7 linked regions of the Cricetulus griseus genome follow. The protein of the gene in region 7 purifies or fractionates together with the protein of the main gene of each other region. This does not show direct contact. Links are inferred from orthologs where the notes say so. Each region holds a gene or a part of one and is shown on either strand. Other genes may lie near its edges. The genes, in order: Urgcp, Znf622, Smc4, Zranb1, Iqgap1, Copa and Hectd1.

The links.
Region 1: the proteins of Hectd1 (region 7) and Urgcp purify together in Homo sapiens (affinity purification with mass spectrometry; 4 studies listed by BioGRID and IntAct, with this or other methods). This does not show direct contact. The link is inferred for Cricetulus griseus from reciprocal best matches to the Homo sapiens genes HECTD1 and URGCP.
Region 2: the proteins of Hectd1 (region 7) and Znf622 purify together in Homo sapiens (affinity purification with mass spectrometry; 4 studies listed by BioGRID, with this or other methods). This does not show direct contact. The link is inferred for Cricetulus griseus from reciprocal best matches to the Homo sapiens genes HECTD1 and ZNF622.
Region 3: the proteins of Hectd1 (region 7) and Smc4 purify together in Homo sapiens (affinity purification with western blotting; 3 studies listed by BioGRID, with this or other methods). This does not show direct contact. The link is inferred for Cricetulus griseus from reciprocal best matches to the Homo sapiens genes HECTD1 and SMC4.
Region 4: the proteins of Hectd1 (region 7) and Zranb1 purify together in Homo sapiens (affinity purification with mass spectrometry; 5 studies listed by BioGRID and IntAct, with this or other methods). This does not show direct contact. The link is inferred for Cricetulus griseus from reciprocal best matches to the Homo sapiens genes HECTD1 and ZRANB1.
Region 5: the proteins of Hectd1 (region 7) and Iqgap1 purify together in Homo sapiens (affinity purification with mass spectrometry; 3 studies listed by BioGRID, with this or other methods). This does not show direct contact. The link is inferred for Cricetulus griseus from reciprocal best matches to the Homo sapiens genes HECTD1 and IQGAP1.
Region 6: the proteins of Hectd1 (region 7) and Copa purify together in Homo sapiens (affinity purification with mass spectrometry, with the first as the bait; 3 studies listed by BioGRID). This does not show direct contact. The link is inferred for Cricetulus griseus from reciprocal best matches to the Homo sapiens genes HECTD1 and COPA.

What each region holds. Positions count from the first base shown.
Region 1 is NW_023276807.1:99,078,049-99,082,275, forward strand, and holds the start of Urgcp (up-regulator of cell proliferation), read left to right. Parts: upstream 1-1,427; 5' UTR 1,428-1,540; coding exon 1,541-1,554; exon of another isoform or gene 1,555-2,275; intron 2,276-4,227. UniProt on the Homo sapiens protein: May be involved in cell cycle progression through the regulation of cyclin D1 expression. May participate in the development of hepatocellular carcinoma (HCC) by promoting hepatocellular growth and survival.
Region 2 is NC_048595.1:356,781,660-356,785,159, forward strand, and holds part of Znf622 (zinc finger protein 622), read left to right. Parts: intron 1-1,150; coding exon 1,151-1,263; intron 1,264-3,500. UniProt on the Homo sapiens protein: Pre-60S-associated cytoplasmic factor involved in the cytoplasmic maturation of the 60S subunit.
Region 3 is NW_023276806.1:84,126,028-84,129,527, forward strand, and holds part of Smc4 (structural maintenance of chromosomes protein 4), read right to left. Parts: intron 364-3,500; coding exon 199-363; intron 1-198. UniProt on the Homo sapiens protein: Central component of the condensin complex, a complex required for conversion of interphase chromatin into mitotic-like condense chromosomes.
Region 4 is NC_048596.1:67,864,160-67,867,659, forward strand, and holds part of Zranb1 (ubiquitin thioesterase ZRANB1), read right to left. Parts: intron 2,735-3,500; coding exon 2,663-2,734; intron 1,606-2,662; coding exon 1,407-1,605; intron 1-1,406. UniProt on the Homo sapiens protein: Ubiquitin thioesterase, which specifically hydrolyzes 'Lys-29'-linked and 'Lys-33'-linked diubiquitin. Also cleaves 'Lys-63'-linked chains, but with 40-fold less efficiency compared to 'Lys-29'-linked ones.
Region 5 is NC_048596.1:116,873,817-116,877,316, forward strand, and holds part of Iqgap1 (ras GTPase-activating-like protein IQGAP1), read left to right. Parts: intron 1-84; coding exon 85-187; intron 188-784; coding exon 785-920; intron 921-1,241; coding exon 1,242-1,329; intron 1,330-3,023; coding exon 3,024-3,236; intron 3,237-3,500. UniProt on the Homo sapiens protein: Plays a crucial role in regulating the dynamics and assembly of the actin cytoskeleton.
Region 6 is NC_048598.1:20,771,943-20,775,442, reverse strand, and holds part of Copa (coatomer subunit alpha), read left to right. Parts: intron 1-2,970; coding exon 2,971-3,084; intron 3,085-3,500. UniProt on the Homo sapiens protein: The coatomer is a cytosolic protein complex that binds to dilysine motifs and reversibly associates with Golgi non-clathrin-coated vesicles, which further mediate biosynthetic protein transport from the ER, via the Golgi up to the trans Golgi network.
Region 7 is NC_048598.1:150,459,279-150,463,315, forward strand, and holds the start of Hectd1 (E3 ubiquitin-protein ligase HECTD1), read left to right. Parts: upstream 1-1,237; 5' UTR 1,238-1,363; intron 1,364-2,910; 5' UTR 2,911-2,932; coding exon 2,933-3,072; intron 3,073-4,037. UniProt on the Homo sapiens protein: E3 ubiquitin-protein ligase which accepts ubiquitin from an E2 ubiquitin-conjugating enzyme in the form of a thioester and then directly transfers the ubiquitin to targeted substrates.

The sequences.
Region 1 (4,227 bases), on a different chromosome or scaffold from region 7:
GATGGAAAGAGGCCCTGTAACAATTGAATATTCATTTAGTTAACCCTCATAAAGAAGAAGGGAATGAGGAACCGTGGCCCTTGAGAGGTTCCCTCTACTTGGGCAACTATAGCTAATAAATTGGTGGAGCCAGTTTCCAGCCTAGATATTCTCGCATCTGAACAAAGGGTTAATCTCTTTAGTGTTTTATATTTTTAGTGGTGAAAAGAATATTAATTTTGGGTCCTGTACCACATGGTGGTGCACACTTTTAATCTCAGCAGTCTGGAGGTAGAAACAAGCAGACAGAACTCTGGTGAATTCAAGGCCATCCTGCTCTACACATGGAGTTCTTGCCAGGTCGGTGTTACATGGTGAGAACCTGTCTCAATAAAAGCAAAGAGAGAGAGAAAATTAGGAAGGTGGGGAGGATCTGGGAGGAAAAAATATGACCAAAATATATTGTATGATTTTTTTTTTTTTTTTTTTTTTTTTGGTTTTTTGAGACAGGGTTTCTCTGTGGCTTTGGAGGCTGTCCTGGAACTATCTCTTGTAGACCAGGCTGATCTCAAACTCACAGTGATCCACCTACCTCTGCTTCCCGAGTGCTGGGATTAAAGGCGTGCGCCACCAATGCCCGGCTTTGAAAAAAAATTTAATAAATAAGCTTAATGTGATAACACAAAAATGCCATCAGCAGTGGTTTGCACTGCATGGTCCAAAGCTTTTTATTAGGTATTTTCTCTTAGAAGATACTAGTTTGGGAACTAATTTGGCAGGGACTGGAACCAAAGCTCAAAAATTTAGGTGTCCAAGTATTCATAGCTTGTAGGAAATCCCACTACACTAGTTCCAAACTCTATACTTTTAAGTAATAACATATAAAGCTTACTAGTCACCCTCGTCCTAAGTAAAGTTAAAAGGGGTAACCGGTTGAGAAGCCAGCCAGTACACAAAAACACCACTGCCAACTAGTAGCAGGAAAGACATTGTTTTCCTTTTTTTTTATTTTTTTTTTGGTTTTTCGAGACAGGGTTTCTCTGTGTAGCTTTGGAGCCTATTCTGGCACTCGCTCTGGGGACCAGGCTGGCCTTGAACTCACAGAGATCCGCCTGCCTCTGCCTCTCTAGTGCTGGGATTAAAGGTGTGTGTCACCAACGCCCAGCTCATTGTTTTCCTTAATAACAGTAATAACACTTTATACCCGAGAGCTAGAGAAAGTGCTTTTCTTACAGAAATTAACATCAGATTGCGGAGGTTGGGGGTGACGTCCCTCTCGCCGTCTGGCAGCCAGTCAGTGGCCCCGGGGCAGGTCTGGCTCCGCAGGTGAATCCCGGCCTCCGGGCAGCGAGCCGGGCTAGAGGCTGCTGTCGCAAGTCCTTCGGGCCCTGAGCGTCTTCTCCCTCGCCCCAGGCGCCGGCCTGCCCTCCACCCGGAGCTCGGCCCACGGCGCCGGACGCCCCAGCGGAGCGGGCGGGGGCAGCCTGCAGGCCCCTCCCCGGCGCCCAGCGGCAGCCGCGCAAGCAGCGGAGGAGGCGGGAGCGCCCAGGCCGCTGCGCTCATGGCGTCGCCCGGGTGAGTGAGGCGCTCCGGCTGCGCAGGGGGCGCCTCTTGGGCGAGGGGCGGGCCGAGCGGTGCGTGTCCGCGACCCGGCGCCCCCTCTGCCTCAGCCTCGGCCGGACCCCAGGTGACCCTGTCCCGTCAGGTGCCTGTCCGCGACCCGCGGCCTCCCCCGCCGACCTTGGGCGGTCGTGGACCGGGCCAGGGTCTCCCTGCAGGATCGCGGTCGGCACCAGTCAGGACAGCGGTCTGTCAGGGCCAGGGAGTCCGAGAGATGGAGCCTGCATCAGCGCAGCCGGGAGGCTGAGGGAGGGGACTCGGGGTCCTAGGTCTCGGCTGAGGCCGCAGGGAGGCTTAGCAGGCCTGACGTGTGTTTCTGGCGTTTGCACTTGATTGCGTTTGAAGTTGATGCTTGGGTTCACTGTCAGTGTCAGGGTATGGGGGACTCAGCTGGACCCTTGTCCAGAGTCGGAAAGCGGATCCGGGATCTAAGGCCCTGCTTGTGCTTGAGTGGGGGTGGGAGCTTCTGTGGGATGGCTACACTTGTTCTGGTATTACCTCTTTTCTAGTGCTTTTTCTTTTAAAATGTTCTTTCTTAGGAAATTACAGTAACACCTACAGTTTGTATTTATTTGATGAAAAACTATCTCAGCCCTTTTACTAGTTATGAGAACTGAAATGACATAATTAGACTAATGCTTTTATGTCACGTAAAGGAAAATGGGACTCAAGGTCATAGCTTTAGTTGGTAAACATCTTTTTTGACTCTACCCCATCATTCAGAGGATCTTAGACCCAGCAGTACTGGTAGTAGTAATTCAAGTAGTGTATCTTTGCAGTTCAGAGGGCTTACAGGTGCAGGAGGACTTTTGGGGTGGAGCATGTAGAAGTTAAACCTCCTACAAAGAAGGTCTGCACTGTGTTGTGGAGTGATTTGGCTGGGTACAGTGGTCTGAATGAAGGTGAATGAAGCAATCTGAACTTGATCCAGGCCTGCAGGCGCCAGCCAGATCATGGGCAATTTCCACCTGCCTAATGCCTTTCTAGGCTTGAGGACCAGCGGGCACTTCTGGGAGCCGGCCTTTTCATTGCCAGCAGAGTATCTAGCACTTTGAGCTCATAAGGAGAATAAACAGTGACCCATCCTGGAAAGGCCAGGTTGATGGACCCAGAGGTTCAAGGTCCCTCTTCATTCTTGCGCTGCCTGTTAGGAAAGTGTAAGACAGGGCCTCTTGGAAGCACCATGAAAATGTTTGAGCCTTTGGGGGGCTTCCATTAGGCTTGTAAGAAGTCTTAGCACATTTCGTGTCTAAGCACACTGCTTTGTAGACATGAGTCAGAGGAGGACCTCCTGTTGGATCAATAATTCTGTGGGCCAGTAATGCCTGAACCACGGTCTGTCTTTATAGTGGGTGGTATTTAATGTTTGTCGTTCTGGTTGTTGTGAGTGACCCAGTGAAGTCAGGGTGTATATTAATTTGTAATTTTCTAAGGGGAGTCTGTTAATAAAACCGAGGTCACAAAACTTTTAATAGACTTAAAAACTGTGCTTGGTTTGATATGCATACACTTATTGACTGCAGTTCATATCTGTAGATTTCACATCCAAGCATCCTCTTTAATAGGCATCTCTGGTAGGTGAGAGGTTGACTCCTGGGAGTCCTGACCTGTCACTCAGCTAGCTGCCTGTAATGTTTTTGTTTGTAAGCTGGGGTCTGGCTAATATAGCCTTGGCTGGTCTGGGGCCCCAAGCTTACAGAGATTTCCCTGCCTCCAACTGTTACCGTTAAATCTCCTTACCACATTAGATGTTTTAGACAGCAAATGCAGAGCAATACATGGCAGAGATGGAAGAAGCTAGCCATGGAGGGGGCAGTCTCTAAATATGTGGGGACCATGGGCTCTTTGCCTGCCACTGAAAGGCATTTCCAGTCAGCATCATCACAGCTCTGTAGAATCTTTGTAACAGCAGTGTAGAGGGGGAGAGGGACAGGAGACACGACACAGATCTCACCCATCTGCTACCATCTTGCCCATTTCTGGACTGTTCTCACTCCTATTACTAATCAGCTGGCTAGGGTTCTTTTGCTCTACTTGAATAGGAATCATAGGCAATGACTAGAATCTCTTCAAGGGCTAGTCTTTGGCAACTTTGATTTCTCTCTGTTTGGTCAGAGCAAATGACAGCAGTTATGACAGAGGGAGCAGCAGCAGGTAGTACCTTCTCATGTTAGAGCCCTGGGCAAGCTTTAAGTGTTGGCACCCTTATTCCCACAAGGTTATGATATGTAGGCTCCAGAAATTAGGGTTCATGGTGCTTAAATCCACTTAGGCCTAGGTTTTGATATCATTGCCCCTAAAGACAGTTCTCTGGAACTCTGCTGGTATCCAGAGCCTACTGTTTTTTCCCTGCCTTTTTTTTTTTTTTTTTTTTTTTTTTTTTTGGTTTTTCAGGACAGGGTTTCTCTGTGTAGCTTTGGAGCCTATCCTGGCACTCCCTCTGGAGACCAGGCTGGCCTCTAACTCACAGAGATCCACCTGCCTCTGCCTCCCGAGGGGGAATAAAGGCATGAGCTTTTAATCCGGCTTCCCCTGCCTTCTTTGCTCAGCCTTCCTTCTTTGCTTTCCTTCTCTACCTCCACCACCCTTCTTCTTGCTCAGCCTGCTCTTCTGTCTGCTGGGCAGCCT
Region 2 (3,500 bases), on a different chromosome or scaffold from region 7:
GATACATGCACACGTGCAATTTTAGAAGATATTGTTGAATTGTTTACCAAAGTGTTCTCTGTAATACCACCATTATTGAGAGTAAGTTTTCTTTTTCAGGCATATGGCTGAATATATAATAGTTTTACATTGTGTTTTATTATGACCATTGTAATTGTGAACCATTTACATATTAATTAGCTACTTGGAAGTATTTTTGTGTCTGATTTAGTCTTTTATCTATTTTCTATTGGGTTGTCTAGCTGTTACTATTTCAATGTGTATTTCAGTTACTTTTTTTATTAGTTTATTGTTTTGTGTGTGTGTGTGTTGCATGTGGTAAATAAATGCACATATGCACATGCCATGTGGAGACCAGAGTTGTTGGATGTCTTTCTTGATCATGCTCCACCTTATTTTTTGTGACAGGGTCTTGCTGGGACCTGGAGCCCACCATTCAGCTAGAAGGCTGGCCAGGAAGCTCCATAGATACTCTTATTCCCACCTCCCTAGGGTTGTTGGCATAGGCAGGCATTGCTGTGCTTCGCTGTTTTGTGGGTGCTAGAAATGGAACTTCTAATTGCATGGCAGGTACTTTACCCACTGAGCCATCTCCCTATCACTTTCTAGTTATTTTCTTAGGTCCATTTAAATATGAAATTTTGGATATATTTAGAAACAGATTCTTCTAGAACTACACTGTCCAGTGTGGTAATTAATAGGTATATCCTTGTGGCTACGTAAATGAAGTAAAAGATGTTAAAAATTCAGTGCTTTAGTCAGACTGTCTGCATTTGAAAAAGTTCGGTGTTTGAAAGCCCCGTGTATCTAAAACTAACATGGGTGACAAGTAGACGTGTCTTTCTGTTGTCACAGAATTCTGTAGGGCTGCAGTCTTCTAGAACTTGTTTCTGCTGTGATTAATTGGTCTATAACTTCATGTCCAGCTCTGTGTTGATGGCTTCTGCATTTGGTAACCTTTCTAGAGAGAGGACAAACATCCTCTTAAGGGTCATCTGGTCACATTTGTTGCAGAGAAATTCTAATGGTAGTTTTACCCCTTAGTCCTTTCAGTGGGCATTCCCTGAAGCTGGTGGTAGTTTTGCTCCATTTGTAAGTGCAGATGTCTGTTCATTCAAGTCTGTTCATTAGGACTATTTCCCTGTTACAGGAGTAGCTACCCAGATTACAAGGAGGGGCAGGACCCTAATGAAATTGAGCAGTTGTCCTCGGATAAGACTTTGGAATGCGATGATGAAACCATGGAGCTGATACTTCCTTCTGGTAAGTGTATTTGTCAGAAAGAAATAGCTTAATGCCGGTGTGTTGTGGAAGAAACATGTCTTCTTCAATTACCTGCTGAACCGAGGGAAAAAAAATCATGACCCTTAAAGTGTTTTTTGTGTTCTCAAGTACTTGTGAACTTTAAAAGTAACTACTTAGCTCTAAGTTGGCTTTGTCATTAAAACTGGGTTGTTGTTTTTTCTTGTTTCATTTCAGCTTTAGAACATTTTTACTAGGTATTTCCTTAAATTTTTTTTTTTTTTAAATGTAGACTGATAGTTCCCATGATCTCTCCCTCCCTTCTGTGTATATGTATGTATGTCTTATTCCTTGTGTCTCGTCTATCTGTGTATACATGTGCAAGTAGAGGTCAGAGGTCAATGTTAGGCATCTTTCTTCAGTTGTTCTCCTTATTTGGCAGTTTTTCACTGAACCTATAGCTCACCAATTTGGCTAGACTGGCCAGTGAGTTCTAGGGATCCACCCCTCCAGCTCTGGAGTCGCAGCTGTGTGGCAATATCCCCAGCTTTTTACCTAGGTTCTTGCTGTCTGAATTCAGGTCCTGATGCTTACATGACAAGTACTTAACCAACTAAGCCATCTCCCTAGGCTTTCTCTTAGCTTTCCGTGATATTCCTCCCTCTCTTTGACATGATTCCTCTGGTACCTGTGTTCTTTGATAGCCCAGGCTTTCTATTAGTTGCCTTTGCATAGCTGTGATCAAAAAACCCTAAATGAAGGATTTAGCTTGGTTCATGGTTTCAGAAGATTCAGTTCATGATCATCTAGCCAAATGTGTTTGGGTAAAAATATAAGGGCTGTGGGACCATGTGGTGTGACTGTTTGCCTCATTCATGGCAGATAGTGAGGCAAAAGGAGTAGGGATAAAATAGCCTCCAGGGAGCTGGCTCCAGGGCTCTACTGTCAAGTGGGTCCTACCACCTCAAGTTTCCAGTTTCTTATGTGGGGATCAACCTGAGCATAGTGGAAGTATCTCATAGTCAGACTGTAGCAGGCTTCCAAAATAGTTTGACATGTTGATATTTGAATAACAGTGCTTGGGTTGCCTATCTCTAGTAGTTGGAGAAGAGACTTGGAGGATGAATTCTGCCTCCTCCCTTGGAAAAATAATAAGACTCATTGTAGGAATTTATCCCAGGAATGAGAGGATGAAGGAGTCGTGACTATGAAAAGCATCCACTGTTGTTTATTGTATAGAAAGGAAGAAATGTGGCAGTTAACTGGTAAGAATGGAGGAGCTACAGAGGGCATGGTTTGAAATGAAAGAGAAGGGAATATGGAGATGATAGTAAAATATGAACAGATACATGGTGTTTACTGAGTACATAGCACATTCAGGCTTTACAACAGCCATGTGAATTAGATTCTCTTGTCTTCATCTGGCATATGAAACTAACATGTTTAAGCAACTTATCCAGGACCTCATACCAAGCCTTTCTCGACTTCCTACACTGCGTAGGGAGTTTTGCAGTAATAGTACAGCAGTAGTGGCACCCTCCTTGCCAATGAAGATGTCTGAAGCATTGTATGTGTTGAAAGTCTTGCTTCCTATTTTGCTGTACCTAAGCAGCTAAACACATGTGGTATCACTGTGTAGTACAGATAGCTGTCACTATCTCAGAATAATAACCTTAATGCCTAGAGCAGAGAGAATACCTTGAGGATAAAATTCTTCTTAGATGGTAAGGAAATTTTATTATAATGTATTGTAGTCTGTACAATACACAGTGGTCAGGACTTGTAGGAGCTCACAGACTCTAGACCCTCTGGACTGACAGCTAAGGGAGTATGCCTGGGACCAACCTAGGCCCTCTTTATGTATGTGAGAGTTGTGTAGCTTGGTCTGCTTGTGGGTCCCTAGCAGTGAGATCAGGGCCTGTCTTTCCCTGGTGCTTGAACTGGCTTTTGAGGGAACCTATTCCCTGTACTGGGTACTGTCTTCATGCTTTGTTGATGCCCATGGGAGGCCTGTCCCTTTCTGACCAGAGAGGTAGAGGAGGAATGGATGGGGTGGGGGGGTTGAGGTGAGGTAGGGGAAGGAATAGAAGAGGAGGGAGGGGAAACCGCAGTCAGGATGTAAAACAAATAAAAACTAATTAATTAATAAAAAAATTCACAATGGTAAAAGGGTGAATATAATCAAAAAACAAAACAAACAATAACAACAACAAAAAAAACCCATAAAAACCTCTCATAGCTTTTAGAGAATGAGAAAT
Region 3 (3,500 bases), on a different chromosome or scaffold from region 7:
AAAGTCAAATCGAAACATAAACACCAAGTAAAAGATTTCATCCAAAGACTAATATAAAAATGGAGGGTTCAGAAAACAAAAAAAAAAAACCCAAACATTTTTATGTGAATTATAAAAAGTATTCAACTCAGTAAATTCAATTGATCCATAAATAAGACATTCTCATTGGCAACTAATGTCTACTAAAGATTCATTTACCTTTTCTCCTCTGTTTTCATTTAATAGTTCAACTCTCCGACATAAGACTTTAATAGGTTCATTTAGCCGTCCACAGCCAATTATATCTTCTAAATACTCAAGCATACCCTCATCATGTTCAGTCTGGCCTTTTGGTTTCATCATAGCAATCTGTTCGACTTCACCCTTTAAGAGAGTTACATTCATCCTCATTGTATTCAGTAGCTAAATCTCTTCAGCAAGAATAGGGTAATCCCAACTAAACGATATTCATCAAGTAGGTTTTAGATGTTTTATTCAAGGGGTCTGAAACCCCTTTATATTATTCTTATAAAATTACTGACAACACATATCCACATACAGACACAAAGATACCCTATGTTGTGGTTTCAAGTAAACAAATTTTTCTGTTAAGCAAAATTTGACAGGGTACATTACCAATTATTACTAACAATTTGCTAATGGTCTCTCATTCTAAAATAAGTTTTCAGAGTTCCTTCTAGTTAAACTGTATAAGGAACCTTGCCCAAATGCTTCTAGTTTTACCCTTTATGTAGTTATCTAATTTCTCTATAAACCTAGTGAGTTTGACAAGTGACCCACTTCAGAAAAGATGACTAAAACTTAACAAGCAGTTGTAAACTGGATGGTAGAAATTAATCTCAGGTTCTCTGCAACAGCAGTAACCACCAAAACCACCAAGGATCCTTTCTTTTATCCAGAAAAAAAAAAAATCATAGCACCTTTAAGTTTGAACTTAAAGGACTCTTTCACTCCAAGTTTACAAATCATATAGTAACAGAACAGGGACCACTAAAAGATTACCTGGAGCTGGTAACATTTCATTCACCCTCATAGTTATTGCTACTTTCTAGGTTTTTTTTTTTTTTTTTTTTAGCTAGAGTCTCTCTATGTAGGCCTAGAGTTCAGAGATCAATCAGTCTGCCTCTGCCTCCTGAGAGCTGAGAATAAAGCCATGTGTCCAAACAAAGTTTTGTGGTTATTTATTTATTTTTGAGACAGGGTTTCTCTGTGTAGACCAGGCTGGCCTTAAATTCAGAGATCTCTTGCCTCTGCCTTCTGAGAAGTGGGATTAAAGGCACATGCCTCGGCTACTACCACTCAGCTTTGAACAAAATTTTAACGCACTCCCAGCCTCAATTATTCTGAGAGTGGTGGGGTTGAGTATACAGCTCAGTGGTAGAGTGCTTGCAGAAGGCCTTGCATTTGATCCCTAGCAACAGAAGAGGGAAAAATAAATTAGAAAGGAGCTTGAGTTCTAACTTAATGAAGGCTCTGCTGGGTAGCAAACAAGGATACTGTGATTCAGTTAAACCATTCTTTGATGATCTTATTTACAGGTACCTAGAGCTTAAAAATCTAAGAGAAAGCTGGGTATGGTAGCACACATCTGGAATCCCAGCACTTGCGAAGTGAAATAAGTGCTTTTATTTTCATTAAAATAAATACAGGGGGTGGTGGTGGAAAGATGGCTCAGCAGTTAATAGTACCGACTACTCTTGCAAAGAACCAGGCTCAGTTCCCAGCACCAACATGGTGGCTCACAGCATTCCCTAACCCTAGTTGAAGTTCTGATGCCCTCTCCTGACTACCTTGGCCCCAAGCACATATACAGTAGATGTGTATACAAGTAGGCATTATTAGATATCAAATCCAGAGCCTCATGTGTGCTAGCAATCACTACCACAGATAATATTCCAACCCCCTTGGGCTTTCTAATTTTTGTTTTGCCTAAATAATTTTCATTTTCTGAACTATAACTTCTACCTTCCTCAAGTACAGTTTACCCTAATTTGTTCTACAAGAGGACAACCAAATCCCCAAGGTTAATATCTGTCCAAAGTACACAAGTAAAAAAGAGAATGCTTTTGTGGTTAGTTTTCATATCTATTCTGGGTGCTTAGGGGCAGCCTTCTAGCATGTTTTCCACAGTTGAGCCACTGGATCAGACAACTAGTCAAAAACTTCTTTCAAAATGTAGTCAGGTTTGCTTTTTAGATTTTTTTCCTTATTTCTAGATAAAAAGACGACAACAAATAGTTTATATGCCACGCCTTCTATAAAAGTATATTAAAAAACATGATCAACAAGGTTAATCCACTCTCCAGAGTAGAAAAGTTATAAAAATGTTTTATTTCATAATATGAAGACAAAAAATATACATAAATTTTGACAAAATCCAATTTCTGTTTTTTAAAGGAATTTACAAAATCACTTCCAATACACCAATCTATTAATGCAACTTTGAAGGGTAACTGAAGCATAGGATTGTCACTTCTAACTTGAGTGGAGCAAAAGCATTAACTAATGGAGCAAACCAATAAAATCTAATTAGTTAAGTTTTAGTCACCTATGAAATAATACAGACTAATAAAATCGTTTTTGTTTGGACCATTAATCTTTTTTTTTTTTTTTTTAAGATTTTATTTGTTTATTTGTATACAACATTCTGGTTCCATGTATATCTGCACACCAGAAGAGGGCACCAGATCTTATGACGGATGGTTGTGAGCCACCATGTGGTTGCTGGGAATTGAACTCAGGATCTCTGGAAGAGCAGTCGGTGCTCTTAACTGCTGAGCCATCTCTCCAGCCCCTGGACCATTAATCTTAAAACATCACAAAAATCTCTCCAGTAAGATAGAAAACCAATGGCTAATCAATCAACTGTGACTACTTTTGAAATATACATGGCCATTTATACCTGTCCTCAAGGGTAAGAAATAGGACTTAACCATCTGAATGATCATTGAAATTTTAAATTGATCCGTATACTAGAAATGCTTACTTAAAAAACACAAATCCATAAACGCTGTAAGTTTTTAAAATAAATTTCTAAAATTCAGTGCATCTTAATCTTAAAAAAATTGCTTTTCCTACATTTATATTACATGTGATAAAATCAGTATCACTGTCCAGTCTGTACTGATATTATGATACTGTCTTCAATTTTCTAGCCACCCTAAGCACAGGTGGTAGTTTTTAAGACAAATGTTAGTGATTAGGATAATGAAATAGAAGCTATGATCTTACTTCATGTGCTTTAAATCTCTTATTAGTATAAGCGTCAAAGATTCTGATAAAAAGCTAAGAAAATCTCACAGAAACTACTTCCACTTTCCCTGGAATTTAAAAGGATTCTATGAGTTTTATCTAGCCCAATTTCTCCCTTTTCTTCCTAAAAGGCAAGTTGCTAAAAAGTTCTTATCTAAGTTCAATCAAAAATGTAAAAACTTTAAGAGCACAGAAAGGGTTCAGATAATGAAGACAAATTGAAGGAGCATCTTCAGTGCATCAGAAGC
Region 4 (3,500 bases), on a different chromosome or scaffold from region 7:
ACCTCATGCTGTCTTACTCTAATAAAATGCTTCTACCTGGCTCATTTATGTGCTCTCTTACTACCTCTTCTCACCCTTGTACTAGACTAACAACCTCAAATGATTCAGTCCAGCTCAAATATAAATATAAGATCACTTATGGCCACTTTTAAGAAACAGGCAGAGTAAGTCCCAAAACTACAATTATTAGCAACAAATTAAAGAGTAAAAAATAAAAGCCTCACAATTAGGGAAAGGGGTAAATCAACTACTAAAATTCACAATTTACTTACAGCCTTACTAGATAAGTCAATTACTAGGAAGGAAACATTCCCAAGCTGCCTTGGGTGATGTGTTTGGTTCTGTATGAAGAAAAAAAAATTTTTTTTTTTTTGGTTTATTGAGACAGGGTTTCTCTGTGTAACTTTGGAGCCTATCCTGACACTCACTCTGGAGACCAGGCTGGCCTCGAACTGACAGAGATCCACCTGCCTCTGCCTCCCGAGTGCTGGGATTAAAGGCGTGAGCCACCAATGCCCGGCATGAAGCAAAAATTTTTGAGACAGGGTCTTTATACATAGCTGAAAGGTGGCCTTGAATTCAGTCTTCCTGACACTTCCACTCAAGATACTGGGGTTACAGGTATACCAGACCAGTATGCCCTGATCCAGACTGCTTTTCAAATCAGATTTTGCCACCATAGTCCAGATCTGGCTTTCCAGCTAAGAAGCTAAATTTCATCAGCAGCAAAGAATATATCCATCCTACAGGGCAATCACATTAAACTTACAAGGCAGACCTATAAAGAAAAGCAAGCAAACAAAAAAAAGCTGCCATCTCAAAAACCAAACCAATCATACCACCACACTATAGGCAGACAAACGTATACATATACTCTCCCCGCCCTCGTTAAAAATAAAGATTTTAAATTTTTTTATGTAAGACAGGTTGGAGAGATGGCTCAATACTTTTTTGGTTGCCTGGGGGTTTTTTTGTTTGTTTGTTTTGAGACAGGGTTTTTCTATGTAGCCCTGGATGTCCTGGAACTCACTCTGTAGACCACACTGGCCTCAAACTCACAGAGATCCACCTGCCTCTGCCTCCCAAGTGCTGGATTAAAGGTGTGTGCCACCACTGCCTGGCTGAGATGGTTAAATAGTTAAATATTACTTGCTGCTCTTTCAGAAGACCCAGGTTCAATGCCTAGCACCCACATGACAGCTCAAACTGTCTATAACTTCAGTTCCAAAGGATCCAATAGTCTGGCTTCCTTGGGTACCAGACACATACATGGTGCAGACACAGATGCAAGAAAAATGCTTATACACATAAAAAAATTATGTATGAGCAGAAAAGTAACCCACTATTATAAGGAAATGATCCAGCAAGCTCAGTTCTAAACTGAAACAGGAAAGGTTCCAGCTCACCAATGTGAACAGTCATGCAGGCTGTCATGCAGGGCTTTCCGAAGCACCGAGTCTTTGTCATAAATGCCCCAGGTAGCTTGTAGTACTGAGTCAAGTAAACAATCTCCAGCAGTCCGGTTCCAAAGTGCATAAAGTCGACTGTCCAAACGCGTAGCCAACTCCAAGGACCAGTTTATAATTGGAGATTCCTCCTCTAGCTCTAAAAGGAATTTAAATAATACATTCAGTTTCATGCCTACACAATTATAAAGTATTTAGTGAGCTGAAAATATGATCTATATGAGAATATTTTATATTTTATTTATTTAGTTTTGGGTTTTGGGGATAGAGTTTCTCTCTATAGCCCTGGCTGTCCTCGAACTCACTCTGTAGACCAGGCAGGCCTCAAACTCAGAGATTTACCTGCCTCTGCCTCCCATATGCATATGCCACCACTGCCCAGCTTATATGTAATTTATTAATGTAAACTTTCCAAATATGTGAAACATATTTTGTTTCTGAAATAATTTACTCAACTTCCAAATTCTTTACAATTTTGTTTTCTAAAAATGTGTTTTTTAAAAAAGATTTATTTATTTATTTATCACGTATGCAGTGCATGCCAAAAGAGGGCACCAGATCACATTACAGATGGTTATGAACCACCATGTGGTTGCTGGGAATTGAACTCAGAACCTCTGGAAGATCAGCAGTCAGTGCTCTTAACCCCTGAGCCATCTCTCCAGCCCCCCAAAAATGTTTAAAAGAGAAATACATAATTCTAGAGTAAGTAGCAGAAAATTAAGGTTTTTAAGCTTTAATTAATATATGTATTTGTTCATGCTATCACAGACAAAGGCTGTAGATATCTTTTTTGTTTTGCACTGTTGTTCAGAGTTGTGGGTCAAATCCAGGGCTTTGCATGAGACAACTATGATACTGCTCTCAATGACTCTGCATTTTTAATTTAAAAGAAGGCAAAACAATTACATAGTAAACCACTTCCTACATAATAAAAAATGAAATAGGCTGGAGAGATGGCTTAGAAGTTAAGAGTTAAGGGTACTCTTCCAAAGGTCTTGAGTTCAATTTCCAGCAACCAAATGGTAGTTCACTACCATTTATAAAGAGATCTGGTACCCTCTTCTGATATGCAGGCATACATGCAAGCAGAATACTGTATACATAATAAATAAATCTTTTAAAAAAATAAGATAAAAATACAACAGCTAACTGATTGGATAAAAGATAAATTATATCATTCATCATCCACTTACCTTTTTGAACATCTCTATCAAGTACCTCATCAAATAATTTTTCTTGAACTGTTGGAGGCAAATCTTCAATATCTGCACAGAAAAATCAGGCTTAAAAGTTGTTCTCCTGTTTTAAAACTTAATAAATAAATGCCAGCTTCTAATTAAAAATGTTTCCTTTCTACTGAAGTTGTCAGATATCTATGTTTAATGTCGTATGTAACATGGCTATGCAGAGAAATCCTTTTTTGAGTTTCACTATTAAAATTCTTAGTTAATATAAAAAATAACATGTAAACAAATACTTAAGATTTTTATTTGTGCTTTCTCTTTATATGGGCTGCTTCTGCACAAACCTACTTTTTTCTATTTGTTTGTTGGATTGTTTTTTGTCCCATGCTCCCCCCCCCACTCCCCCCAAACCCCACAGGGTTTCTCTGTGTACCCCAACTGTCCTGAAACTTGCTCTGTAGACCAGTCTGGCCTGGAACTCATAGATCCATTGGCCTCTGCTTCCCAAGTACTGGGATTAAAGGTGTACACTTTATTAAACTTATTAAACTGTTATTTTCAAACATAAGAGAAATTTTCTCATAAAAGTTAATGAACTGTATGCACTTTGACATACAGTGTTTTTGTAACCTTCTTCAAGCATTCTATGTTCAGGTTACTTAATAGAGCACTCTAGTGCAATAAAAAGCATTACCCTTAAAAGCCTGGGGGGGGGAGAGGGGGTCAGTGGTTAAGAGAAGTGGCTGTTCTTGCAGAGGACCCCAGGTTCAATTCCCAGCACCTACAGGGAAACTGATGCCCTCTTCTGACCTCTGAGGGCACCAAGCACACACTTGATGCACATGTA
Region 5 (3,500 bases), on a different chromosome or scaffold from region 7:
TGTTCAGCCCCTTTTGTGAAGATACCTGTTGGCCTTGCGGGTGGAGATGGAGGGATGCAGGTCAGTCACTGGATCTCTTTACAGCTCCTGTTGGACCATCAGGACGCCATTGCTCCAGAGCACAACGACCCCATCCACGAGCTGCTGGATGACCTTGGCGAGGTGCCCACCATCGAGTCCCTGATAGGTAATGTTCTTAATGAGCCTCTGAAAAGCTGAGAGGGGACCGCATCAGGGGATTTAGTATCATTGTCTCTCTGATCTTGCGCCATATCAGAGTCTAGATACACAGTGGGGAACAAAACTAATATAGGCCCCACCTTATGAGCACCTGAGTCCAGTGAAATAGCAGATACTTTTAAATACAGAGACAAAAGTAATACAGATAATCAGAAAGTAAGTCTTATAGTTAGATTGTTGACAATTTTTTGAGACAGGGTCTCACTTTGTAGTCCTGTCTAGCTTGGAACTCGATAAGACCAGGCTGGCTTCACACTCCCAAAGATCTACCTCTCTTGGCCTCCTGAAGGCTGGGATTAGAGGTGTGCACCACCGTGCCCAGTGAAACGAGTTTTTCACACTTTTATGAAGTTACTGTGTTATGGACCCTTCTCCTCAACCATTTGCCTCAGTTTCCTTTACTTCTCAGTAACAACTGCTCATCACACTGAAGGGCATTGGTTTATCAAGAGTCATACTGACCTGCATTGTATTTATTTGAATTATTTTCCCTCCAAAGTGTTTTTTTATTACATTGACTCTTTCTACACTTCAAAAACTGCAGGGGAAAGTTGTGGCAATTTAAATGACCCCAACAAGGAGGCACTGGCTAAGACAGAAGTATCTCTCACGTTGACCAACAAGTTTGATGTGCCTGGTGACGAGAATGCAGAGATGGATGCTCGGGCCATCTTACTGAAGTGAGTATTGAAAGGGAGAAGGAAGCGGCTTAGAATCCAGTTCACCTGGAACAACCATCCTGGCCTCTCTTGCCCGTCACAGTGCTCATCACCCTGCATCGTGCTTGGCACAGGACTTACTTTGCTAACATACAATTACAGTCTTGGAACTCCTCCCCTGTACCACCTGCTATAGTTCCCTTGCTCCTTGTGCCAGTAACTGTCCCTCTGGGTGCTGTAGCAAGGCGCTGTGGGGTGACGATGCTTCAGATACTGCTCAGATCCTATGACAAGGAGGTAGAACACACAGCCATGTTCAAACCCATTCCCATCTCATTGCAGCACAAAACGTTTAATTGTGGATGTCATCCGGTTCCAGCCAGGAGACACCTTGACTGAAATCCTGGAGACACCAGCCACCAGTGAACAGGTACACATGAAGGTTTCACACTGGATAAGCTTTTCTATGATAGGTGCATCCCTGGGTGGGGATAGGGGCACAGGGAAGGGATTGGACCCTTGGGTGAGCATGGATCTGGCTATGGAACAGTAGTAAACAGGGCTCATCTGACTGAGAAAGTTGGTGGCTCCTAAATCCAGAAGGTGTTCTTAGGATGAAACATGAGATAGAGAATACAGGATAGATGAGAATTTAATCTGGGACAGAACATGTTGTCTATGTAGTAATTTAATGACTGTCTTATAGTTGTAATTATATGAAGTACCTTGGTTGTGTCTATAAAAGTACAGGGTGTGGCTCCAAACTTTAAGGTCCATTTAGAAAAATTATGATACATGCATCTGAAACCATAAGACCATTAGAAATTAGCTATAGTATTGATTATAAAAATGCCAGGGAACTGGAGACATGGCTTAGTGGTTAAGAGCACTGATTATTCTTCCAGAGGACTCGGTTCAGTTCCCAGCACCCACATGGCAGTTCACAACTGTCTGTAACTCCAAGATCTGACACCCTCACACAGGAATATATGCAGGCAGAACACCAATGCACATAAAACAAAAGTCAAAAAAGATTCCAGAAGTTTCTGGCTATGGTGGGCATGCCTTTGATCCCAAAGATATCTGTGATTTCAAGGCCTGCCTGGTCAACATAGCTAGTTCCAGGCCAGCCAGTGAGACTCTATCTCAAAATAAACAGAAACACAACAACAACAACAAAAAACCCCACAGTTTTTGAGGTGGAGGCCAGTGAGGAACAGTGTATCAGGAAGTCACAACAAAAGAAACAGAACCCAAGCCACACTTAAAGACTGGGAGGATCTGGGTGTGATGGAAAACAAAAGAGCAAATTCTGGGGAAGAGAGCCCACAGGAATAATGGGACCAAGGAGGGAAGAACACAGTGAGATCTGGGGTGAAGATGGGCGGGGTAGTTATGAGAAAAGCAAAGCTGAGGGTGGAATTATCTAAAACTCTAGAGCTCAGACTGGGGTGAGGAGATGGTGATGACAGCCATGGATGATAGCCGTGGATGCCAAAGTCAGAAAAGACGATGAAGTTGTTACAGAATGATCAGTTGGGCTTGGCAGTACTCAATCTCTGCTCAGTTGAGGCAGGAAGATTACCAAGTTCAAGGCCAGCCTGGGCTATCTGGCAAGACCTTGTCTTGGTTGTTTTTTCTTAAAAAGTAAGGGAAAGGGTAAGGAAAGACAGCAGAGTCTAAGGAAGGTTCCTTGATATGACAGTATTTGCAGTGTGCTTGGGAGCAGAGGGCAGCAGGAGCCTGCTCCAGCTCAGGCAGTGTGTCAGGAGCATTAGCAAGATTTCACTGGGCACTGCTATTGGTGTTAATTTGTGTAGTTATGAGCCACATTTTGACTTCAACATCCTAAATTAAGCTGGGAAAAGGTAAAGGATTTCTTAGCTCATAGAATCTAGTTTTCTGGCTACACCTAGTATCAAGAAAGCACAGCATCTGGATTCACAGTTGTACTTTGCTAGGTGAAATGAGGTATCTCACTTTGATGCTGTTCCTTGTCTGGTAGAGAGAAGACATTTACAGCAGACTTGGAGAACTCTGTATTCAATTGCAGATATGCTGTGAGTCCAGGTTTAGGGCTCCTGTGGTGAACTTACCAAAAAGTATTTTTCTTTTCATCTGTAGGAAGCCGAACATCAGAGGGCCATGCAGAGACGGGCTATCCGGGACGCCAAAACCCCCGACAAGATGAAAAAGACAAAACCTGTGAAGGAGGATAACAACCTCAGCCTTCAGGAGAAGAAAGAGAAAATTCAGACTGGCCTAAAGAAGCTAACAGAGCTTGGGACCGTGGACCCAAAGAACAAATACCAGGAACTCATCAACGACATTGCCAAGGTACTGCATGTGGGAACAGTGGTGGCCCGGCCTTGTTTACAGCCGCATCAGGAGCTCATGAACAGACAGTAGCCACTCAGGCCACAGCATAGCTTCTCGTATGCAGAATAGTACAGTCTGACTCTGACATCAGGACTTCAGTAGAGCTTCCAGTGTCTTGAGTTTTTCATTGCCTTTAAAGAATCCTTCAGGGCTTTTTCATAATTGCTATGGAATATATAAAGTTGGTAAAGTTTGTGTGAATCACCCAAACCAGGGTTCTAA
Region 6 (3,500 bases), about 130 Mb from region 7:
AGCCATTCCATTTTCAAGTCTTTAGCCTAAAGTTCTTTTTTTATTTTGTTTTGTTTTTGAGACAAGGTTTCTCTGTATAATGACCCTGGCTGTCCTAGAACTCACTCTGTAGATCAGGCTGACCTTTAATTCACAGAGACTCTCCTGCCTCTGCCTCTGCCTCTGCCTCTGCCTCTGCCTCTGCCTCTCTGCCTCTCTGCCTCTCTGCCTCTCTCTGCCTCTCTCTGCCTCTCTCTCTGCCTCTCTCTCTCTCTGCCTCTCTCTGCCTCTCTCTGCCTCTCTGCCTCTGCCTCTGCCTTCTGAGTCCTGAAAGTAAAGGTGTGCACCACTACTGCCTGGCTTCAGCAGTGGTGATTGCCAGCAACTGGAGGTGAAATGTAAATGTTTTCTAAGAATAAGGTGGTTTTCTTGTTTGTTTATATTTGGTTTTGTTTGTCCTTTTTTTTTTTTTGACCATGTCTCCCTATATAACCCATGTGGGCCTCAGGCTCCCAGATGCAGGATTACAGGTGTGTGATACCATGCTCCACTTGTGAGTTTGTGTGTGTTTGTGTGTATGTGACTAAACTCAGCACTAGGCAAGCCACCTCTCTCCCACTAAAGTAAATATCCAACTCCAAAATAGCTTAAAATACAATAGACTAGTGAGATGACTCAGTGGTTAAAGTTCTTACCACCAAGCCTGATGACCTAAGTTCAGTCCCCAAGGCCATATGGTAGGAGGGAATTGATACCTGCTAGGTTTTCTTTTTTGTTTTGTTTTGTTTTTGTTTTTGTTTGTTTGTTTTTTCAATGTTTTATACATAGCCAACATTTATATAGGTTTTCCTCGGACTTCCATGCATGCATTCTGATACATGTGTGCCCACATGAAAACACATGTGCATATATAGTAAATACATGTAATTAAACATTTTAAGTATGGTGCCTTTGTTCCTTACAGTTGTAAAAAAGAATGAGTTTCCATTAATTGAAGTGTAAAAAGATTTATGTCATATATTTAAGTGAGAAAGGTTTGCAAAATAGCATCCTATGATTCCATGTCCATAAAATAGTAAGGCCTGTGTTTATATGTAGCTGCATTAAAAACCTGGACACACTTCAAACTGCTAACAGTTTGTTCTTCCAGTTTGTTCTTTTATCACCCTGATGGAATAACAAGGACTAGATTTGTTTTCCTGCCTTAAATTGCTAAACAACTAAGCCAAACTACAAAGGTTTCAGACAGTGGTTAGTAAAGAGTCCAGGAGATTATTTCTTGAGGGAAGGGAAATAAAACTGGGCAAGTCCTATGTTTGTTTCAGTTAGTTAGAGAGAGATTCCAGCCTGTAATGAAGGAAGAAAGAAGAATCCTGTGGTTTAACTGAGGAACAAGTTTTCAGCATTTGGAACAACACAGATGGCTAAAATATGCTTGGGAAATAGCAGCAAAGGGAGAGCATTGGGGTCTGTATTGGTTCCCTGGGCCCTTGTTAGAGTGTTGATAGGTACATTCATGTGAGAAAAGTATTTTAGGATTTAGGAAAGAGCCACCAAGAGGTAGTTGTGGGACTGGAGAGATGGCTCAGTGGTTAGGAACACTTGCTGCTCTTGCAGAAGACCCAGGTTCAGTTTTCAGTACCTATGTGGTGGCTCCTAACCATTTGTAACTCCAGTTGCAGAGGATCTGATGCCCTCTTCTGACCTCCACAGGCAACAGGCATGCATGTCATGTACATAGACACATATAGGCAAAATACTCATACACATAATACATATAAAATGTATTAAAAAATTAAGTGATAGTTATGGTGGTTGTACATTCCTCTGATCCTACACTGGGAGGCTGAGGTGGGAAGATTGTGATTTGGAGGCCAGCCTACATGTAAGAGTGAGGTCTATCTGTTTTAAAAAAGAGAAAAAAAATAATAATTGAGGTAGCTGAGTAGTATTCTTCCAGAGTACCCAAATTCAGTTCCCAGAACTCATGCTGGGGCCTCACAACCACCTGTAACTCAAGTTCTAGAGGATCCAGCACATCTGGCTTATAGATACCTGCACTTGTGTGTACATGTCCACACACAGACACATACCTAAACATAATTAAAAACAATACAAAAACAAGTTTTTTTCTTTTCTTCCCTTTTTTTTTTTTTTTTTTTTTTGTGTGTGTGTGGTTTTTCGAGACAGGATTTCTCTGTGTTAACAGCCCTAGCTATCCTAGATCTAACTCTGTAGAACAGGCTGGCCTCGAACTAACAGAGATCCGCCTGCCTCTGCCTCTAGAGTGCTGGGATTAAAGGCGTGTGCCACCACTGCCCGGCACAAAACAAATCTTAATAATAATTTTTAAATGAAGAATGAAAAGAGAAAGCAGAACAGTAGTCCCTGGAGCTCACACAAAGCTGGAAATAGTCTGTGCTCCTATGAAAGAAACAAAAAGATTTTTTATTGTCTGTGGGGCTAGAGAGATGGCTCATCGATTAAGAAGGATTTCTTGACAGTATTGAGCATCCTATAGAGACCCTCTGGTGGGTATTCCCTTAGCATGGTTCCACATTAGACCTAGACTATAAAGGCAGCTGTAGACTCACAGTAACAAAACTTAAGGTAATATCTGTGAGCTGATTCCAACTATGACACACCTCAGAACAAAGCTCAGCAATGTTTAAAGGAATCTCTAACAGTAAGATTTATTGTATTTGGTGTCCAATCAAAAGCTAGCTATCAGCTGGGTAATGATACTATGTGCCTTTAATCGTAGCACTCAGGGAAGCAGAGACAGGTGAAACTCTTGAAGTTCTGGGGCAGCCAGAGCTACACAGAGATAATTTAAAAATTAGGGGGAAAGTTATCAAGTATGTTGAAGAAATAGATAGATAGCCTCTGGTTGATCTAGTTGTTCCTTTTTAAAATAAGACTCGACAAAAGATGACATCAGGGACCTTACCTCATTGTATAATTTTCTGCTTTTTTTTCCCTCTTCTCCAGGCCTTAGTTTTCATCCCAAAAGACCCTGGATCCTGACCAGTTTACACAATGGGGTCATCCAGTTATGGGACTATCGCATGTGCACTCTCATTGACAAGTTTGATGAACATGATGGTAAGTTAGTTTCTGGGGTGGGGTGGGGACTAAAGGATATATGTATTGGAGCTAGAGAGATGGCTCAGTGGTGAAAAGTTCTAACTGTTCTTGAAAAGGACCTGAGTTCAATTCCCTGCACTCACATCATTCCAGGGCTCATAACCAATCTGTAACTCCAGCTCCAAGGGATCTGGTACTCTCTTTTGGCCTCCACCAGCACTTGAACACATGTGCACATGCGTATACACATAATAAAAATGAATTTTTAATGAATATTTTTAAAGACCAAGTATTTATTATTGTATAGGGTGATTTAATCATCCCCCAAATAAGAAACCTAGTTTGACAAGGATTCCCCCTAAAACTAAAGAATGTGGAAGTGGAAAGGGGTAGAAACAAACAAACAAACAAACAAAAAAACTACAAATAGAATT
Region 7 (4,037 bases):
TTTGATGTGGATCTAAAACTTCTAAAAAACAAAACAAACTTTTGCGGGTGAATCTCTTGCGCAGCTGTGGTTGAAAAAGAGTAGCCTAGGTCTTTGCATAGATAGTCTATTTTCATTGCTATTTTTTGTTCAAAGGATGAATTAAACGAGCGTTCAGTAAGGAGTGTTAGGCATATCTTAGTAATCTCGAAAACCAAGGGGCTCTAGATATAAGAGGTATGTTTGCTAATGGCATCATAATGGATCTCCATGTCTGCCCCTAGAGGCAGGTGCATTTTCTCCTCTTCTTCCTCCTCCTTTACCCCACCCCCCTTCACCACTGCCGCCACGAGAGTAGCCTAGACAAGTCATGACCTCATTATGTAGCTAAGGATGACCTTGAACTCCAGGTCCTCCAGCCTCCAGGTCCCTAGTGTCACAGTCATTGGCGGATGCCACTCCCAGCGGCCAGTCTTTATTTTTCCAATGTCCGTGAAATAAAAGTTCGAAGGGGGAAAGCTATGGAAGCACTAGTGACCACAAACCGCAAGAAAAAGAGTTGAGAGCCCTCGGGGCTGCTGCTTCCCGGGACTCCGAGGGGGGCCGCCAGGAGGCACGCGTCCCATCTGCACCGAGGCGATAACGCCGAGCTGGCTCTCCCAGGCTCGCCGTGGAGCGTCCTGGTAAGCCGCAGGGCTCTCGTCCTCAGGCGGACGCGGGGAGGGGGTGACCCGAGAGCCCACACGGTGGCCTCCGTTCCGCCGGACTCCGGAGTGGCCCGCGCCGGGCGAGGCGGGCGGAGCGTGCGCGAACCAGCTGCCGGCGGCGCGCGCCGATTGACAGCGCGGCGAGGCCGGCGCCCGGCGGCCTAAGGAGAGCCGTAGCCGACCGCCCCAGGGAGCCCGGCCGTCGCGCCGTCGTCGCCCCGCTCCGCCGGCCGGGCCTCCGCAGCGCCCCAGGTGGCCGCGGGCAGGGCGGCCGGGAGGCGTTCGCCGCCTCCGCCGGCGCGGCCTTCGCCAGCCTCCCCGCCCGGCACCCGGTCGAGCCTTCCCCTGCCCCCGCCCGGCTGGCGATGGACGCGGCCTCTCCCCGCCGCCGCCGGCAGCTGCGCGCGGGCCTCGCTTTGAACCGCAGTGCCTGAGGAGCCGCGTGCCGGGGGTCGGGACCGCGCTGGCTGCCGCCGCTCCGGAGGACCTCTCGCTTCCTTGTCACCGGGTCCCCGCGGAGGAAGGGGAGGGACGAGACGCGGCTTTTCCTGTGCCGCCTGCCTGGCTCGACCTGCGCGGCCTGCGGCTTCCTGGGAACTCGAAGGCCGCGGCCGGGCCTGGCTCTGCCCGCGGCCTGCTCGGAGCTGGACCGGAGCTGTTTGGGACGGCGAGGCAGGGTAAGAGGCTGCGGGGAGGGCAGGCGGGAGCGCTCGGCGCCGTCGGCGGGCTGGGCCTGCGCGAGGATCCGGGCGGCCGAGCTCAGCGGCGGGCGGGCGGGCGCGGAGCCGGACTCAGGCGCGGTGAGGTCGGCGGTCCGCCGACGCCGCCGCTGGGTCTCGGCCCCTTTGTTTCCCTCCCCGGGCCCTACGGGGCTTGGCTCGCCGGCGCCGGAGCTCCGGCTGCGCTCCCCTTGTCCTTGATGCGGCTCTGCCGCCCGCCCGCCGGGGACCGGGGACGTCCCGCTGGGCCTCCGAGTTCCGGGAGCCCCGCAGCCCGGCCGGCCGCTCGCCCGCTCCCTCTCGAGCACTCAGGCTGGCTGCTGCTCCAGAACTTCGCCCTCCTCCCGCAGGCTGGGAGCTCACTTAGCCGGCTTGGGTGTCAGCGGCTCGGCTCCGGCCTCAGGCAGGCCGAGGATGGTGGGGCAGCCCCGCCGCGCGCCGCCGACGGCTGCCCACCGCGACCCGCCTCTCGGTTCCCACAGCGGCAGGTGGATGGCGTGGGACCCCAGGCCGTCCTTCGGTCGGACCTTTTGTAATGACTCACCTACCTAGACTACTACTCGATTTTTTTTTTTTTTAATAAAAACTAACTGCCCCATCTTATGGGAAACTAGAGCGGCCTATTTTTTATTTTTATTTTTATTTTTTGCGCGCGGGGCGGGGCGGGGGGACTTGGTAAGCTGTTGGTTGCATTTACTTTAAGCATTAAAAAAAAGTTTTAAGAACACTTGCCAAGACTGCCAGAAGTTCAAACGAGTATTTACCACCACCCCCCTCCCCGGGAGATTTCATATCTGATTACTGTTTGTATTTAGACATATTTCGGAGTAAGTTTGATAATTAAGAATTTGTGAAGTTGTTGGGAAAGGAGAAATTCAATTTGAAGGAGAATTGATCAAAATGTGTAATTTCCTTAAAAGTACTGGATGTGACCCGTGTGGGAAGTCCAGGTTTTTGTTTTGTTTTTCGAGGGTGGGGGGTGGGGGTTGCAGGGAGAAGTTCTCTGGTAAAAGAACTTTTTTGTGGGTGTTCTTTGCTTTTTGGCACAGACATTGGTGATAACAGTAGTGGGATCCAATGCTTGTTTCACTGTTTGACGAAGACAGCTCTAGTTTCTAGTTAACTAGCAACCTAATCAGCCTATATATACTCTTCTGTTCAACTCTTTTGTGTTTAGTGTATCTGAACATTATGCCCTGGAAGTAGAGGGAAGTTAGAAAATGCTACATATAGTAGACTTTTTGAAATAATACAGGAGTTTTGAAGTTTGGAAAGTTTTTAAAATCATGTATATTTATTTATTTTTGTATGTGTGCAGGCATGTACATGCTATAGCTCACATATGGAAATCAGAACAACTGTCCATGTGTCCGTGTCCGTGTATGTATGCATACTAGTTTGGGGACCTTACAAAACTTGGTTCTAGAAGATGTAAAGGAAAAAAGTGTAAACATAGGCCGATCAGTTCTGAGTACTTGAAAAATCCTTTTCCTTTTGAAATTTAGGCAAAGAGGCATTTTAAAGACCATGGCCGATGTGGATCCTGATACGTTGCTGGAATGGCTGCAGATGGGACAGGGAGATGAAAGGGACATGCAGCTGATAGCCCTGGAACAGCTCTGCATGCTGCTTTTGATGTCTGACAATGTGGATCGGTGTTTTGAAACGTAAGTGCATTCCTTCATCATCTTCCTCTAGGGTCGCTCCAGTGACATCTGTTTCCAACCATTTGCTGAGTTTGGTTTGTGTGAAAACTTCACTAGAGAATTTTAAAAAGTCCTTTTAGACATTTCTGAAGTTGTCTGTTTACTTTGCTGAGAAATAAAAGGTGTCAGGAAATGGAACCCTACTAATGATATAATTGTGATTATGTAAATACATATTTGTTGAATGAATGTGAATTAGGAGTACTAATATTAACCCATAGCTTGGTTGAGTCAGTTATGAAACATCTCATAAATTGAGGAGAATATTCTCTTTAAAGCTGTTTCTATACCATATGACTGACTGATTAGGAGAATAAGATTAGAACTGCCTGTTTCTTTGGTTTTCATATGTCATTGTGCTTTTGTTAAAATAAATTTCTGGTTTGTAAATTTTATTTTGAGAAGATACATTGGTTGCTACATAGAGTGTATTTGTGTTTGTGTGTGTGCATGCCATGGTGAGCAGCAAGGAGAGGACAGTTTTTGGGAATTGATTTCTCATTTCAGTATGTAGGTTCCAGGATGGAACTTAAGTTATCAGGGTTTGTGGTAAGTACCTTTACCAGCTAAGCCATCTCAACACCCCAAATTTGGACAGTCTCTCTCTCTCTCTCTCTCTCTCTCTCTCCCTCCCCTCTCTTCCTCTCTCTCTCTCTCTCTCTCTCTCTCTCTCTCTCTCTCTCTCGTGTGTGTGTGTGTGTGTGTGTGTGTGTGTGTGTGTGTGTGTCTGTGTCTGTCTGTCTGTCTGTCTGTCTGTGTGTCTTTTTTTTTTTTTCCAGACAGGGCTTCTCTATTGCTTTGGAGGTTGTCCTGGAACTCACTCTGTAGACTAGGCTGGCCTTGAACTCACAGAGGTCCGCCTGCCTCTGCCTCTCCTTGGGACTAGAGGCATGCAACACCACTGCACGGCTTCTTGTATGATTTTA